3 linked regions of the Nothobranchius furzeri genome follow. The protein of the gene in region 1 purifies or fractionates together with the protein of each later gene. This does not show direct contact. Links are inferred from orthologs where the notes say so. Each region holds a gene or a part of one and is shown in the gene's direction. Other genes may lie near its edges.

The links.
Region 2: the proteins of sdha (region 1) and suclg2 fractionate together in Homo sapiens (co-fractionation; 3 studies listed by BioGRID, with this or other methods). This does not show direct contact. The link is inferred for Nothobranchius furzeri from reciprocal best matches to the Homo sapiens genes SDHA and SUCLG2.
Region 3: the proteins of sdha (region 1) and sdhaf2 purify together in Homo sapiens (co-immunoprecipitation; 3 studies listed by BioGRID and IntAct, counting the BioPlex papers as one, with this or other methods). This does not show direct contact. The link is inferred for Nothobranchius furzeri from reciprocal best matches to the Homo sapiens genes SDHA and SDHAF2.

What each region holds. Positions count from the first base shown.
Region 1 is NC_091745.1:56,806,023-56,809,779, reverse strand, and holds the start of sdha (succinate dehydrogenase [ubiquinone] flavoprotein subunit, mitochondrial), read left to right. Parts: upstream 1-1,320; 5' UTR 1,321-1,491; coding exon 1,492-1,722; intron 1,723-3,624; coding exon 3,625-3,708; intron 3,709-3,757. Other genes in the region: coiled-coil domain-containing protein 127, read right to left, coding at 1-326, 417-980. UniProt on the Homo sapiens protein: Flavoprotein (FP) subunit of succinate dehydrogenase (SDH) that is involved in complex II of the mitochondrial electron transport chain and is responsible for transferring electrons from succinate to ubiquinone (coenzyme Q).
Region 2 is NC_091743.1:57,342,552-57,346,308, reverse strand, and holds the start of suclg2 (succinate--CoA ligase [GDP-forming] subunit beta, mitochondrial), read left to right. Parts: upstream 1-1,055; 5' UTR 1,056-1,106; coding exon 1,107-1,190; intron 1,191-3,757. UniProt on the Homo sapiens protein: GTP-specific succinyl-CoA synthetase functions in the citric acid cycle (TCA), coupling the hydrolysis of succinyl-CoA to the synthesis of GTP and thus represents the only step of substrate-level phosphorylation in the TCA.
Region 3 is NC_091749.1:62,797,008-62,800,764, forward strand, and holds the start of sdhaf2 (succinate dehydrogenase assembly factor 2, mitochondrial), read left to right. Parts: upstream 1-1,094; 5' UTR 1,095-1,219; coding exon 1,220-1,246; intron 1,247-1,775; coding exon 1,776-1,999; intron 2,000-2,681; coding exon 2,682-2,791; intron 2,792-3,703; coding exon 3,704-3,757. Other genes in the region: cleavage and polyadenylation specificity factor subunit 7, read right to left, coding at 17-193, 417-500.

The sequences.
Region 1 (3,757 bases):
CTCTTGTCCATGTTCAGCAGATCTGCACAGTGCTTGTCTCTTTTAAAAATATCCTTGAGGTCAGACTCTAGATCAAGATCTGCCACGACAGGATCCTTGACAACCTTAAGGAGGATGTTTCTCTCCATCTCCAGCCGGTTCTCCCGAGGATGGATTACAGAGCAGTAGGCGTTCTGCCGCTCCACCAGCAGGCCTTCTAGCTCCTTCAGGGCGGCTGCAGCACGAAGGTACCAGCTGTTTTCTTTTTCCAGGGCGTCGTGCAGAACAGTACCTGCAGCTCCACACTTTACAAACTTATGCTTCTGGTCATTCAAGGCCTCTCGCTCCTAATGAGGAACAAAACAAAGGGTTTTTATTCATTTTAAAAGGAGAAAAAAGGAGGTATACTAATAAAGGCGGAGGCTCTGGAGACTTACCTGCTCCATCTGTTTGCGTTCCTGTATAAGATGCTGGGAGTGTGAGACCAGAGCCTGCTGGTAACCTTTCGCCCTCTGCCTCTCCTTCTCCAGTTCCAGCTCCAGTGTAGCCGCTGCTCTGCGGCTCTCTGTAAGTGTGTCCCGGTAACGCGCATCCATGTCACTTTGTATCGTACACACATCTCTGTCATACTGAGCTTTAACCTTCTCAATCTCCTTCAAAGATTCACGAGTCCAGATCCAACCTGACATGATGAAACACAAGAAACAGGAAGATATGTGTTTGCTGCCATTTGTGCCCAGTATTTCCCCACATAACCCAGACTGGTTTGCTTCTCTTGGATATTGAAATATGTAGAAACCCATAAGGACCACAGGCCCTTTTAACTTACGAAAAGCAGCCAGTCCCAGCATGGGGACCAGCAGGGCATAGTTCCACTGGTTTCCATCACCAGCAGCCCCCTCTCTTCCTCTGGGATCTGGTTGAATGTTCCATCTGGGGGGGTCATTCAGGTTGTTCATGGAGGTTTCTGTAAACAAACACAAAGAAAGCAGCCAAACCATAAGTAATATGAGATTCTGTAACAGCAAACAGCTCTGACTACTAAAACTTACAAAATATTTGCAATGGTTTATTATTTTACTGAATGAAAGCTTACATATAAAAAAACTATATTAATTCTTCGCATTGGTTAGCATGTAAACATCAATAAATTCAGGAAATTACGGGTTTCTGACAGAACATAAACAATGCTAGCTTCCGTTCAGCTAGCAGGCTAAGCAACCTTTATCTTTGGGTTTTATCTCACAAAGTGTATTTCAAGTTACAAGGGCAGCACCGCTTTACTTTTATTTTATAACACTGTACGTCTGTTGAATAATTACAGTGTTGCCTCACCTTGAATAATGTCTAGGTCACTTATGCATTTGTTCTTTCATATATCCCGATTTTACGTTTACGTGCTGGTCCACACACCGACAGGTGTGATTGTAGGAAACAACACAAAAAGATTTTCTTTTAATGCCCAAAATAATTTGGCATTTTATTCCATAGGCATATTTAATAGAGTAATAAATGTATTCAAATTATAGTGTAATTCAAATGTATCTAAACAAAAATAAAATTGGTTGTAAAACAATAGATCACCCCTTTATAAAAAGTGGTTTCGTCTCGACTGGTCCGGCAGCGAATCTCTTCCCCCCGCAACAGTTTCTTGCTGAAAACATGGCGACTGTTCGTGCTGCGTCTCGTCTCCTCTCCAGGAGAGTTCTGTCCAGAACAAAAGCAGTGAGTCACAGTAGCTTGGTATTTCAATAAATTCTTATCTATGTATACTCGTGATACGTTAATAAGTTTTGTGTCAACTGCAAGTGAACGTTTAGCTTTTGCCAACGGCAGGCCGGTCCAGCTTGCGTAATGTGTTATGTAGCTTCAATGTGACACAGTGGAAGAAAGCTGCACACCTCTCCTTTCTGTTTTCTGTCACTTTATTTATTAGGACAGCCGTTTAAAGGCCTTATTCGTTCAGGATATTCAGTTCAATTAAATTCAAGTTTATTCATATAGTGCCAAATAACGACAAGAGTCGTCTCAAGGCACTTCACATAGTAAACAATCCAATACAGGTCAGTTCATTAAGCCAATCAGAAAAAAAGTTTCCTATATAAGGAACCCAGAAAATTGCAATCCTTTACAGCTATCCTCATAGTAAGCAAGCATTTAGCGACTGTGGAGAGGAAAACTCCCTTTTAACAGGAAGAAACCTCCAGAGGATCCTGGCTCAGTATAAAGCCAAGCGTACACTGTGCGACTTTTTTGAGCCGATTTTCCACTCGTACGAGAATCCACAAGATCGGGGCGAGTTTTGCACTGAGCATCGCGTAGTATACTGGGGTTACGAGCGGCTATTAACACCACGTGACCAGCTACCGATCAGCAATCGTGAGCTCGCACGGACTTCTGGCGTGTTTGATATTTTGCTCGTCCCTCGTGAGGGTATCGCACTGTTGAAGCGGCGCTGCGAGCAGCTGCGACCCAAAAAGTATCAGAACCGCTCATGGCGCTTGTGCAATCATGCATCGACACTGCTCGCCCGCTATTTCCCTAATAACACACGTTGTTCGTTTTTATTTCTACACTTTTTTTTACTCACAAATATTGTCAACAAAGTTTGTCTGTCGTGTTCATGTCAAACTAAACTGATCACAAAACACAGATTTACTTTCTTTATTTCGTTTTCCTCATCCAACCCCCATAAATCCCTGTGTGTCCTCCTGCAGCACTCCCGAAGGACAACAGGCAAAACAAGACAAAAAAGTCTGACGTGTTGTGTAAATACAGCTATTTTTAGCATATTTTTAGGTCCGACGTGTTGCTACCAGATGTACAGTGTGAGCAGTCAGGTTGCATCCGAGAACTGGGTCGTACAGTGTGAGCACATGACTCGTGAGATCTGCTCTGCGAGGAAGTCGTACAGTTTGAGCTGAAGCTGAGTGCTACGAGTGAAAAAGTTGCACAGTGTCCGCCCAGCTTAAGCAGCCATCTGCCACGACTCACTGGGGATCAAGAAGACAGAGCAGACACACACACACCATATATACCAAGTAGTGTGTCTATGGTTACTTTGTGATTTCTTAGTAAATATTCTAGTTGGTGAGAGATAAACTTTATTGTATTCATCCTAGTGAATCTATAATTAAACGGGTAAACTAGTAGTAGCACATTCAGTGTCAAAGAAAGTAAAATGTTATTATCAGGAGAGGGAGAGTGTTTAAATGGTTAGCAACAGTCACACCGTAGTGTTTGTCTAACAGACCACCTAGATCTGAGCATTTGTTCACATGTTATCAGCCAGAGAGAGTCACAACAGGTTTTCTGGTAGCCATGGTGGTGATTCTCTGTGCTGGGTATTAATAATATTTACCTAATTATTATAAATTGCATTTCCCGATTCCTTAAAAGATGTTGGTTTTTTTTTTTGTAAACCTATAAAAATAGAAGATTCCCATGTTCACAGCTAATAAAACAAACGTGACCTTTGATCTAATCCCTATTAAGTACGTCAACACACACATTTACTATTCACCAGTGAAAGACTTAAAGATGTTTTTGTTGTGCAAAGTTATTAATTAGTTTTTTTTTGTAGTTAGTTTTTGTACTGGTCTTATCCGTATTAGCAGTAATTGTGTTGTGTAATTTCTCTGTCAGCTTCCTGCTGTGGCGGTTCATGGCTCCAAGAACTTCCACTTCTCCATTTATGGGAAGAAGAAAAGTGCCAAAGTATCTGATGATGTGAGTTTTACTTTCATTAAAGGAGACATATTATGCTTTTTAATTATTC
Region 2 (3,757 bases), on another chromosome or scaffold:
ATCCCAATAGATCAGTGTTTCAGAAATACTCAGACCATCCTTCTGGTACCATTAACCATGCCATTGCAAACAAACAAACAAACAAACAAACAAACAAACAAACAAACAAACAAACAAACAAACAAACAAACAAACAGACAAACAGACAAACAAACAGACAAACAAATAAACAAACCCAACAACAACAACTTTAATACTCCATTGTCCTCATTCTGATAGTAAAAATTCTGCAAGTTGCTGCAATGCTACCATTTCCTGATGATGTATTTCCAGTAGCAATTGAATGGGTAATAATTGAATAGGTGTATGTAATAAAGTGTTAGGTGTGTAAATCTACAGCAAAGCATTTGAAATGTTTAACCTATGTAGATCTAATGCCTGCATCAGTGTGGAATTAGAATAAATTCAGCTAAGATGCTTGGAAACCTTTGTATAAACTCCATAATCAGAGACTTACCATGAATATCTAAAATGTAACACAGTTCTGAAAACTTTTACGTTAATACTTTATTAATACAAAAAGTTACATACATATACATATGTACACACACACACACACACACACACACACACACATACACACACACACACACACACACACACACACACACACACACACACACACACACACATATATATATCTATCTAAATCTATCTATATATATATATATCTATATCTATATATATATATCTATCTATATATATATATATATATATATATATATATATATATATATCTATCTATCTATCTATCTATCTATCTATATATATATATATATATATATATATATATATATATATATATACATACATATCTATCTATCTATCTATCTATCTATCTATCTATCTATCTATCTATCTATATATATATATATATATATATATATATATATATATATATATATATATATATGTATATATACACACACACACACTTTTTTTTTACTAAATTCAGAGCTACAAAGATTAGGAACAAACATTTTCACACATCTTTCTAGATGAGTGGATGTGGGTGTTTCCACCTTAAGGACCGCCTCCATCCTGCTGTCAATCAATGAACATTTTCTTCTCACTGGCCACTACGTCATCTCGTTTTGCGTGTCAACATGGCGGCATCCATGGCATCCCAGGCTGCAGCTAGAAGACTGAGGGCAGCTACATCAAAACACATTCTTCTGGACAAACTAAAGGTACCGGTACTGCTCGTGTCTCTACACAGACGCTTTTTACCCTCTCCGGCGGGTTATGGCGGTGTTGGACCGCTGTCACCGTGGTTGCAGTAGTTGTAGAGCTAGCGTGTTAGCATGTGTGAGAGAAGAGTTAGGGATCACAGTTCAGCAATGTGACAGCTCCGTGGTGACACGCTGGGTCAGTATTAATCACTGCAATTGAAAACACCTTACAACAAGTGTTTTCCTAGAAATTATACCTTTTCAGCTGGAGTTTTTCTGAAAAATCGTTCACTAAAGTCTTGATTAGCTTTGGTCTTAATCAGACTGCAAAGGTTAAGTGGAGCTTAACCTTTGTAGAGTTTCTGCCCATACTACAACGTGTTAACTTTGTGTGTTTGTCGGTTAAAATATCAAAATTGAGTATATTACGTGTTACATTTACTTTTATAATCTGTCGTAAATAATACCTGCAGTTAAAGACAGCTTTAGATCTGACAAATGATACGTTGTACCCTGTTCCTAGAACACACTGCAGCTCTGCGTTTTGCACTATAACCTCATTTAGATAAGCACAGTACAAAGGTTAACTCTTGCCCTATGATCTAATATCTATGAGGTGTTAATAACGGCTATCTGCCATATTGGATTACCGTTTTCATTTGTCAAAATATTCCAGCAGGATTTAACTCTTAATAAAACAAGTTTTATATTGTTTAATGACAGAGACAACAAAGATGTAACAATAAAAATAAATGGAATGGACATTCAAAAGGTGAAAGAAACGAAATTTTTAGGAGTCATGATTGATGAAGCTATCACCTGGAAGTCACACATAGGTTATATCAGAGGTAAAATTGCCAAAGCCATTGCAGTACTACATAAAGTTAAGTTTTTACTGAATAGTTCTGGATTGCTGACATTGTATAACTCACTAATTGTTCCATACTTGACTTACTGTGTAGAAATATGGGGATCCACATGTAAAACTCGTACACAATCACTGTTTATTCTACAGAAGAGCATTGAGAATCATTAATAGCAATCACTATAGAGATCCATCCATCCATCCATCCACCCATTTTCTGAACCCACTTTATCCATGCAGGGTCGTCGTGTGTGTGTGTGTGTGTGTGTGTGTGTGTGTGTGTGTGTGTGTGTGTGTGTGTGTGTGTGTGTGTGTGTGTGTGTGTGCTTACTTGCAATGATTTAGGTAAATATTGCCCCCTATCGCTGGGGAAAATACACACGTCACTTTAAGTTGGCTCAACCAAGTAGATAATTGGCCAATGCCAATACATAAAAAAAAAGGTAAATACCGGCCGGACACATTGGCCGACTGATAAATCGGTCTACCCCCTCTTTGCATTAAAAAAGCCCAGCTTTCCAAAAATAATTAGTTAAAACTGATTTGTTCTATGTTTAGAAACCATATAAAAACGTAGTGAATCTCAGCTGGAATTTCTGGTCATAAAATAGATTTTGGAGTCTTGCTGGTTCCATTGAAAATCCTGGTTCTACTGTGCTTCAGAAGAATCTGGTAGAATCACTCTGTTTTAGTGGTTTGATCCATTCAAAGGTCTTCAAAAGTAATTCTTACATACTTATAATCTCACTTCAGGCTTTTGTACCTTCTGGTCTTCTTCTTCAACTCATCACCCACTCATTTTCCCTTTCTCGGTCTCGTGGTCTCTCTTGAGTAAAGTGATAAGAGTAATAATCAAGGATTCTCTCTGGTCCACAGCACAGTATCGGAGAAGGAAATGATTGACAGCAAGGTATCGCCACAATAGAATCAAATCAGGTCTGACAGTGTGTCAGCTCAGCTGAGAAATTCTATTTGAGGTGGTGTGTAAACAGCAATACAGAGGACATCACAATTTTCACATATTTAGGCTCCAAAATGCTCCTCAAGGAGTCATGGGATGATGTTTCTTTCTCTCACTCGTAAATCAGATCTCTAGAGTTCTTTGTGCACAGTGAGATAATCCTCAGGCTGTTTTTCACTCTCTGTATAGTGGTGAATTTGTAAACATTTAAAAGAGTTAATGTCTTGCAAGTTGCCCATATTTAGTAATAATCCAGCAGTGTGGAAGTCCATTGTCTTGCGAAGTCACACTGGGAAAGGTGGCTCGTGAGACTTGGTGCTGAATATTTTATTGAGGGGGTGGAGAGCCCTCTGCTTGCAGCGACTTCTTTTGCTGGAACTTCAAACGATGGAAGGTTTTCCCATCTGTTTCAGCTAGAACACATTTACATTTCCTCCCCGCAAGGGACACTGGAGGACGGAGTTCGATCTTACTGGATTTGAATATCACTCTCCAAGGTTAATAGCCATTTCTGTAGCTGATGTGGTTCTTTGGCTTTTTCAATAATTTAGAATGGCTGCAGTCATTAGGAAATGTTCCCAGCATCTAAAATGAGGAATGCAGTGATTGAATGTGGCAGAGCTACCAGCAGCTTAATTTCGGCTATTGTTCTGTTTTGGAAATTATACAACAACTATACAAGGTCCGAAGATGAAGCTAAAACGTCTATGCTCAACATTTTTATAATTATACACTCAACATATCAACAGCTATATCAAG
Region 3 (3,757 bases), on another chromosome or scaffold:
GGGTTGTACTGCTTACCCAAGAGAAATTCCCAATGTATAAAGAGAGTCTCACTGAAGAGTCTCTTCCTTTATGTGCATTCCCATCTTTTGGTTTATCCTCTTTTTTAGCCGAAGCTTCCTTAGTGATCGTCTTTTTGTCTTGATCAACCGTTCCAGTAAGAACAGCATCAAAAAGGTCGTTTGCTTCCAAATCCTGGGTGAGAAAAAATTAACAATAATGTTGACATTTTTGAACAAGAAACGCTTTTAATTTATATTTTCCACTTATTTTATTACATCTCTGATTTTGATTTTAAAATTATCTTAATTTTTTGCATAATACAACTCACATAAAATTGTAAGCAATGAACTTAAAATGTACAACGATTAACTTTAACATTTGATACAGATTAAATAAGCTTTCCCGTTAGGCTCACCTCATCGTTCGCATGCAAGTCGCTGTATATATCGATGTCGTTTTTGGAGGAACTCGGTTCGGCTGCAGGTTGTGCAGCAGCCATCGTGTGGGCCTCAGATGCCAACTGCAGGCACGGAAGCGTTTTAGTTGCTTCGCTTATTTTACCTGTTCAGTTTGCACAACAGCACTGTGCACATTTATGATGCACAACAAACACTGCCCCGATTTTTCTAAAATTATATACGTTAACGTCAGTTTTCACGCTAACCGTCCTCGCTTCGCTCAGGTCCGCAACTACTAAAAAAAAAGCTAAATCTTTAGCTAAAACAAAACACCAAAAAAACAATAAATTTAACGAACTACTAATTCAATTAGGCAGTAGTCTTTACCGATAAATTAACACATAACCAAACTATTTATCTCGCATGTTGGCTACCTGATAAGCTAACGCTCCTTGTTTTTTCACTCAGTGCGTAGGAAGTAATTCCCCGGTAGAGAACAACAATCCACTTTTTGGGTCCTAGGCTTAAATTCACATTAAGTTAATTTATTTGGGAGTTGTGCGAATATTTACAGATACACAAATTAACCAATAATGTTTAATATTTATTTCTGGTGGCTTAAGCATGTTTCTTTTATAGTTACATTTCTCTTTCATCTCTCAACCTCAACTTATGTGCGCAGTCGGAAGTTTGCCGTTGCAGCCCGGTGGTGACGTAAGAGCGTTTACAAGCTAGGCATACTTGTGTAATTTTGTCGAGAAAGACATTTGTGAGAAGGAAAACGCTTAAGTCTACCCACCGGTACAAGAAGAAGTTTAATATGCTGTCTTCTTTTGTTGCGAAAAGGGTGAGTTCTTGGTTTTTCTACTGTGTGTATTTTAAGATGTGAAAAACCACAACAGAGTTAAAGCTCTCTAATATCTGTTTTAAAAGCACGATCGCAAAATGTGCCGTCATGTTTGACCTCTTATAGCCTTGGTGCTACAAATGTTGGATGTTTACAATGTTTACTGTTGGAGGATGGTTGCACAACACGCTTGATGTCATATATATAAACGTACATATAATATACATTAACTAAATGGCTAAACCGTTATTTTAAAGGTAAATGATAGACATGTTTTTTGTGTCAACAAAAATAATCAGCACAGTCCAAGATCACATACATTTAAGCTGTAAATGCACAATATTTAGAACCACAGGTTTATAAGACAGTCTAAATATTTTTTAGTAATCTTTACCAAAACATGTGCAAGGTTTCAGATGGTATAACCTAGTGTATTGTATCAACAAAATACATTGCATCAGTTGAACAACAGAATTTGAACACATCACAGAAGGAAATAATATGATTGTGTGTTTTGGTTTTCTGTCAGCTGCTTACAGGGGTTTGCCAGGCAGCATGGAGACCGTCAATCATAGGGATGGTATCATCCCGTGGTTATCGTGGAGACGCTCCTGATGGCCCCCAGGTTGACCTGATTGAAATCCCTTTGCCCCCCTGGGTAGAACGGGCAGATGAGCCCATTGACACCAAGAGACGTCGGCTTCTATATGAGAGTCGTAAGAGGGGCATGTTGGAGAACTGCATATTGCTCAGGTTTTCACACTCAGTCTTTTCTTTATTGTAATTGCAGGGTAACTGCGGGTCCTTAAAAAGTCTTAAATTTACTTTTCCAAATTTAAGGCCTTGAAAATCCTTAAAAATTACAAATAATCCTTAAATACAGTTTCCAAAGGTCTTAAATTACCAAAGACCCAGTAAACTAGATTATTTTATTCATTTTTGTGAATTTCTAGTTAGTCTTCAGCATTTTTTGTGTATAATGTTGGCGTAAGCGGAACCGTACACATTCAGTTGGTTGTGAAAGGGGGCTATTTTTAGATGAGCACATTAGCTGGTTAAGCTAGTGGGAGCTTGTGCCGTGGAGAAGTGCAAGTTTAATGGTAACTGGATGATTAATTCCACGTTCGCGACGTGGTTAGCACCGGTCCCAGGCAATAGCTGGAAATTATAGCAGAAATAAAATTGAAAAAAAAAAAAAGCTTAAATTTGGTCAAAGTGGCCTTAAATAAGGTCTTAAAAAGTCTTAAATTTGGCTCCCATAAACCTGCAGATACCCTGAATTGTCTGCCATTGAATTCACAATAATAGTATATGAGGTGACATTTTGGAACTTTACATATTTTAAGGCAACTTTGCTGATGCGGCTTCATGTATTTTTGAAAGTGCAGTCCACTTTTCAATTTGGAGTCTAATAAATGCCTCTTGTCTCTTGCAGCATTTTTGCCAAACGATACCTGAATAAAATGACCTATAGCCAGCTGCAGCAGTACGACAGGCTGATAAATGAACCAAGCAACGACTGGGACATCTACTACTGGGCCACGGGTGAGAGAGTGATTGTTTTTTCTTGACAGGTTTTTCTTGGACAAGCTTCTTATTGTTTATTTATTTATTTGTTTGTTTTAAGTTCTATAGCTTTAACCTTTTCACCATTAAATATTGTGGATGTAGATTTTCTCAGTGTTTGCTGTCAAGTTATTTCACTAGCTTGGGTTAAAAAAACAGCCTTTGTGTGCGTCATTAAAAATGATCTTCTATCAGCACTTTAATCGATAATAGTAATGATTTTACCAAATGTTCTTCACTTCACTAACTATGAATCAAAGCAACAAAAAGTTAACAAACTTGCAGGAAGCCACCTCTTTGTTTTAAGATTTTAAACTTTGCTAAATCATTTACCATTGAGTGACTTCTTTTCAATTTCAATTTTTTCATTTATAAAGCACCTTCTACCACCTTAGCTGCGGCCCAAGGTTCTGAACTGGACATAAAAAATCTGAGTAATAATAATAAAAAAAATCAAATTGAATAAAAATCCGTTAAAACAAAAATAGACAAATAAAAGCTACTAAAAACTGCAATACAAATGATAAAAATTTCTTTTTCACTTGCTGATTTGAAACCAAGCTGAAAAATAGAAATATTGTAAGAATGGCAACAGCATATTATTTTGCAGCAGCCCGGAGTACAAAAACAATTTTCAGATAGTTGCGTTGCACGGAAATAAATGAGGCATTTCTATTTTAAAGCATAGCTTTTTAGGTTTTATAACCAGCTTTGGCTGAGAAAACTACTATATGGAAACATTTATTTACACATAAACCAATCAGATTTCAGAGGATCTATCCTGTTTGCAAACTTCAGAGCCAATTGTCTTATAGTTCAGCTTCTTGCTTTTAATCCAAGCAACATTTTAACTCAGAAACCTCACTAAATTGGATCCTTCTCTATTTACAGAAACGTATCCTACTCCTGAAGTCTACCAAGTAGAAGTCATGGAAATGCTGAAGG